2 linked regions of the Bombyx mori genome follow. The protein of the gene in region 1 purifies or fractionates together with the protein of each later gene. This does not show direct contact. Links are inferred from orthologs where the notes say so. Each region holds a gene or a part of one and is shown in the gene's direction. Other genes may lie near its edges.

Region 1 (2,790 bases):
CCATTCTTCAGATGTGTATTTGCAGATTTGTATTTTTATAATAATTTACGATTATAACCAACTCTACAATGTACATCTATGCATCACACAGGTATACAGCTATGCGTAGTTGCGTACTTTTTAAATAAAAAATGTATTCAGTGCCCTTAAATATCTCGTTTCCAGGCCATACTATCCCAATAAAAGTGGATCATCATGCCTACGAATTTGCTGTGATTTATGCAACGTTGGTTAAGTACCCCGTCTCTAATTCTCCGCACCTCGGAGGGGATCGGACGTCGGGTGTAAGAGTGCAGGGGAGTCGTTTAGTGGGTGGGTCCTAAAATCCTTGGACCCGCGGTCTGCTCACAACACCATGCAGATCGTTGAGTCTCACATACCCCGCGCGCCCCTTTTGCGCGGGGACCTCGTAGGAGGTTCGGCCCTCTAGCCGAAAAAAAAAAAAAAAAAAAAAGTTACCCCGTCTCTAACACTGTGAACTTATCTGATAATTCTGATTTACTTTTAGCGGAAACGTGAGAAGTGCAGTTGTGTGATTTGTTTTATTTTGCCTGTTTAGTGTTTCTTTAGGTTTAAATGTGTAATAACGGTGGTTTATTAACTATTTCATATCTGTGAAAGTGCACAAATGTAGGAAAATGAAACAAAGTCACTGGACGTAACTTCTCGGGATCATCCGAAAAGCCCACTGAAAAAAATTCAGTAAATGACCACCATTTTACTGAGATTATATTTCATCCCATATCATCTCTTATTATTTCATTTCATTTCATTCCAGTTGATTAATGGCTATGGAGGGTAGAGATACCCTCCTTGTTAATGGCTCAAATAATCATCTTCATTTCATTTCACTCCATATTATCATTTTCCATAAAAATAAGAATATAAATTAAAATAAGACATGACTTAAAGGTCGTAGTTACCAGGTCGTAAAATCCCTTTAAAAAAAAGAATTCTGATATTTATTGTCACTTGTCAGCAAAGTCAGCATGTATTTCAGTCATTTCAGTTCTTCGAGAATTTAAACACTTGTTTCTATTAAAATTTATTATAAATAATATACTTAATATTGTAGTAATAATAAAATAATTTATTATAAATAATATACTTAATATTGTAGTAATATTAAAATGAACAATTAGCACGGTGTTTATGTATTCTTTTTTATTATTGACTGAGTAGGTAGTTTCTACGGACATGTGTGTATGAAATAAATTAAATTATAGCCAATACCCATAACGTTTCAATACAAAATAAAATTAATATTCACGTCAAGTAGAAAACAATAAAATGGAAACGGAGAAAGAAGCAGAAGATGTAAATAGTATGGAAATTAGACAACGTAAGGAGAAAAAAGAGTTGCAAGCCCAAATTCAAGCATTGAAAAAAGTAGCTAAAAATGACAAAACAAAAAAGAAAGATCTTGCTGCTGAAATATCAAGGCTTGAAAGTGAATTAGAAATTAGACACAATAAGGAGATTATGGAAGCAAAACTTTCTTCTGAACACAACTTAGAACCAATGGTAGATGAAACAAGAGTTATCAAAACAAAAGTATCTAAAGCGCAACGGCGCCGAGATAAAAAATCAGAACAAGAGAAAATCCGCGAAGAAGAAATAAAACTTCAAGACAAGGAAAATGTTCATGGAGCTAGGAACATTGAAATACAAACTATTACCAAAAGGCTTGAAGAAAAAAATTTGAAAATTTTTACTGTTCCATCAGATGGAGATTGTTTATACAAAGCTGTAAGTCATCAGTTGCAACTTGTGAAACAAGAGACTGTAAGCGTGGATGAATTGAGAGAAAAAGTTTCAAATTACATAAGGGATAACAAAGATGATTTCAAACCTTTCATGTGTAACCCAGAAACACTAGAAACATTAACAGATGAGGAATTTGAAGATTATTGTCATAAAATAATGAATACCAAAGATTGGGGTGGTCAATTAGAACTTAGAGCCTTGTCAAATATTTTAAAGTGTCCGATAAATGTGATACAAGCTGTCGGACCTGATTGTATAGAGCAAGGCACAGAATTTGAAGGCCCACCATTGATAATCACATATCACAGGCACATGTATAGCTTAGGTGAACATTATAATTCAACCAATCTGATTTCAGTTAGTGAGAATACCTCATAAAATACAAATAACTTTAAATATAAAAAACAGATGTGCATAATTCAAGAAAAGAGAAAATAATAATTCATTTTTTATAAAGTTAGGTAAAAAGGACATTGGAAATGGTAACAAATACAGTTTAGTATATAATAAAAACATTACATAATATTGCCTTTTCTGTTCCTAGCATAGTAAATGGAATATGAGTTTACTGCCCCTATACAATAACATTGAGCCACCAATTGCCTTAGAACATATCGACGCTTGAAAGGCAAAAGTGACTAAGCGACAATAACTGCTTTGTACATAAATGATAGGCAATAACCATATTTAATGTGCAAAAAAATATATTTCTAGGTCTATTAAAATCATTTCAATCCTACAGCTACTAGCTAGATTCGTTAAAATAATTTTTTTTTCAGGTTCAACTTTATATTAGTCTACTGTAAAGTTCACGCATTGTTGCTTAGTCACGTTTGCCTTTCAAGCGTCGATAAGATTGCTTTTAAAATCTTATTAGAAAAATCAATATCCTAAAAATCAAATGAAAATTAATGATTTGTTGGGAGGATTGACAAGTTTTGTGAAACAAGATACAGATTAGTGACAGATTATAATCATTTGGAAATTCGCTTAATTAATAAAGACACTAAATGTCAATTTTAT
Region 2 (3,935 bases), on another chromosome or scaffold:
TACCTGTATTAGCATTATGCCGCATAATGCGCTCTTGTGCTGCAATTGGAAAACTACCGAGGTAACCCACCAGTTTGATTAATGCAATTGGACAGCTTGTTTTTATAAATTGTTGCTCAAACGTAAAAAAAAACGTCCTATATTTACCTTCATTTGGGTTGAAATGTAGGACAGATAATCACCGATAAAAACAAATAGGCCTTTGTTGGATGCTTGGGTTTCTCAATAAAACTTCCACAATCGATTTTGTGCTTGTATTTCCTTTATACAGGTTTTTGTTAATTTAATACGTTGCGAATGAGTTAGCTTGGCACGGCCATTAATTGAAGTGTTTAAAAATTGTGTCGGTGAACATAAATAAAATTTTGTTCATTGCTCCTTAGAAATTCGTAGGCGTTAACAGCTTTATATAACAACGTCAAACATTTTCTTACTTTAGCTCGACTTTTTTGATTAATTTTTAGATGATTAGTCATTTAATTTAATCTATCAATAAAAAATTGTGATTACATGATCGTTTTCATTTAATATAAAAATTAATTAACTATTTCTAGATTGTATTGGTGTAACATTGCAACATCATTACAGCAGCAATTTTTTTGTAGGTACAACAAGTGGAGCCGCCCTTATGGCTTTTATGTTGCAAGAATCAACTGTTACATGAATCGCAAGTAAATCGTTTTGGTATGGGAATATACAAAATCGATAGCATAACACATCTAATATAAAATATTGTGAAAAAAACTGGTTACATTATGGCATTATTTCTTAATGGTAAATAAATTTTAAATATAAACTTATGTTATGTTTTTATTTTCAATTCCTTCATTTTATATTTAATATATTTTATTTATACTTCATTTTATATATTTATTAGACTTCGTTTTAATTTAGTAACATTTTTTTGGAAAGATAGTTGTCCTTCTAGTTTCACGAAAACGAATCGGTGAGCACGGACGCAATGTAGTAGGTAGGTATTTAAACCCAAATGGTTCAATATTCCTAGGTTTCTACAACTGTATTTGTATCAGTGCATGGGTTTGATTAGCACGGCTACGATTTCATTTACGTAGATTATTAATTTCAAGGAATTTAACAGTAGATACTTTTTGTATTAATTTGCCGACGACATTGTCAATCAACTTTTCTGAACGGTAAACGAATGTCATTTTAGTCATTTGTTTTGTTGCAATTTTCTGTCAAAACATATGTCAGTTGTTATTTGAAAATGGCGGATGATGCATCAAGCAGTAGCGGTATTACCGGTAATACGGTTGAAAATTCAATTAATCAAGATGAATTGATAATGAAACAGCAACGTGAAATAGAAAAAGAGGTAATATATATAATATATAACCAGAAAACTACCTAAAACCATACTTCACACTGAAAACATACTTTGAAATTTGACGTTACTGTTTGTTTGTTTTTAGATATCGGAAACAATACCGTTGGTTGGTGAAATTGAAGAATTGCAGACTTTAGAGAAAGAATATAACGAGGATCCGATTTATTTGCTCAAAGTGAAAGATTTGTCTTCGAAATACAAAAGCATTAGACGAACGCGTCCCGATGGCAATTGTTTCTTTCGCGCGTTCTCATACGCATATTTGGAACGCTTACTGACTGATAAGCAGGAATATGATAAGTTTTACGAAATAGCAAAAAATTCTAAAGATATTCTCGTCGCCTTAGGGTTTTCGCAGTTCACCGTTGAAGATTTTTACGAAACTGTAAGTTGCAACATTCTTTTTGTTTTGTTGACAAGGACGTTTCAAGTTTACGGGTTGCGCGCGAGGCCTTGACCGGAGATTATGGTTTTTTCTCAGAAAATAAAAATTTCGCTGTTAATCATCATAAAACTCACCAGAGTATTGATTTGAATAGTCAGATCATCGAAGATAAGTCAGACATGAATATTATAACATTTAATAGAAAGGGAGGTTAGCATAATTATTTGATTGAAAATTATTGGGGGCAATAAAGCGTGGCTGGTTTAAGCAGTTTTAAAAAACCACAAATGTTTATAAAGCCTGGGTGACTGCCTTAAACTGGAATAGGCAAGATCTTAATGGCTTGTGTAGACAATGCATAATATAACAAAGCTTATTATCTAAACACCAGGAAAGCCCAAAAATATTTCCGAATATAAAAGCTATTAGGATAAATCAATTTTAAGTGTTTGATGAAGACAGTGTTTCTAAGTAATACTTGGACCATATAATTAGATACCTTGATACTATAGAGTTGAGACTTGATCTACACGCTTGAAGTCTTCACACTGTCTTCATGTCATCTGGACTTTTTCCTAATATCAAGTAGCTAATAGTTTGCAGACTTCTTTAGACTAATTTGCAGACTTCTTTATTTAAAATATAATTTAAAAAAAGACATTCAACTTTGTCAATGTAAACTAAAACAACAAATCTAATTAAAATTATAATTTGCAGTTTATGGAAGTAATCCAAAGAGTAGGGGAACATGCTGGTTCTACTCCGGATTTGATAGAAACAGTTCGTATGGAGCTTCATGATAAGTTCAACAAGCAGGGATATTCTGATTACATAGTGGTGTACCTTCGTCTTATTACATCTGGCCAGCTGCAGACAGACCAAGAATTTTATCAGAATTTTATTGAAGGACCACGCACTGTTACTGAGTTTTGTAGACAGGTAACAATGACATAAATGTTTTACAATTTATTTATTTACAATAAAAGGATTGTGCTGCAGCATTTAGGTTGTTTTCAGTAACCACTTAACTTTTTGTACCATGTGGTATTTTGATATTATTTGTATTTCTAACATATGTGCAAGTTAACTCCTCAAAAAGGAACATAATTTAAAATAAAGTTTCTGACTTACTGTTGTGATTCTGCTACATAGTAGTCAGGCTTAGTGTTTGAGGGTAGAATAATAATAAAATGTAATAAACACGATTGTGGATATTTGTTTTGTGAGAGACAACAAGGTTATTGTATTTTTTCCCAAAATATTTTTATATCAATAGTATAGTGCACTAGACTTGAAATTGTTGTTATTGCTCATGGTCACTGACATAGTTCGTCTTGAAATTGGTCCCATGCGTATAAACAACAGATTCTACTTAAATTATGGTTCAAACCACATGTTGTGAATTTGTTTATGTAAAAAAAGGTGACCGTATGTTCCCATAGGGAGCGCTCTATACCATTCGGCTTTGGATTGAGCTCTCCTCCACAATGTTTCCCGAGCACTATGACATTTCCCTCTTCAAATGAGAATTGTGGAGAGTGCTTAACGGTAGGCAGCAGCTTGACTCTGCCCCCGGCATTGCTGAAGTCTATGGGCGACGGTAACCACTCACCATCAGGTGGGCCGTATGCTCGTCTTCCTAAAAGGGCAACTAAAAAAATTATTTTTGTAGTATCGTATACATTTACCATGCAGGTGCCTAGGTTCATTCAGTTGGAAAGAGAACCGTGATTCAAAAATATTTTTGTTAGATCTTTTAATTTGTTATTGCAGGAAGTGGAACCGATGTACAAAGAGTCTGACCATATCCATATCATAGCATTGAGTAATGCACTCAAGGTGTGCGTCCGAGTGAAGTACATGGATCGGGGTGAAGGTAGCCAGGTGAGCAATAAAACTTAGATGCTAGTTACCAAAAAAATTTAATTGTTTAATTACAAATTGTAATGTCATTTTAAATTGAAAGCAAAAATATTTAAATCTGTAAAGCAGTAGTAAAGTACCTACTTCAAAATTGTTCATTCATTTCATTTCAATTCTGGTTCAACCAAAAGAATAACCAGTTTCACAGAAAACTAAAAATATCCTAATCTCTATTATGTTTTGTAAATAGAACCGTGTTAAAAAAAGTAATTGAAGAGCATATTTTTTCTACTTGCTAATGTGGTAATTAGTAAATGTCAAAATTTTTTATTGCAGGTG

The links. The genes of interacting proteins can lie anywhere in the genome.
Region 2: the proteins of deubiquitinase OTUD6B (region 1) and ubiquitin thioesterase otubain-like fractionate together in Homo sapiens (co-fractionation; 4 studies listed by BioGRID and IntAct, with this or other methods). This does not show direct contact. The link is inferred for Bombyx mori from reciprocal best matches to the Homo sapiens genes OTUD6B and OTUB1.

Annotation. Positions count from the first base shown.
Region 1 is NC_085110.1:12,094,071-12,096,860, reverse strand, and holds deubiquitinase OTUD6B, read left to right. Parts: upstream 1-1,290; coding exon 1,291-2,145; 3' UTR 2,146-2,290; downstream 2,291-2,790.
Region 2 is NC_085118.1:933,389-937,323, reverse strand, and holds the start of ubiquitin thioesterase otubain-like, read left to right. Parts: upstream 1-1,135; 5' UTR 1,136-1,228; coding exon 1,229-1,336; intron 1,337-1,433; coding exon 1,434-1,733; intron 1,734-2,450; coding exon 2,451-2,672; intron 2,673-3,506; coding exon 3,507-3,617; intron 3,618-3,932; coding exon 3,933-3,935. UniProt on the Homo sapiens protein: Hydrolase that can specifically remove 'Lys-48'-linked conjugated ubiquitin from proteins and plays an important regulatory role at the level of protein turnover by preventing degradation.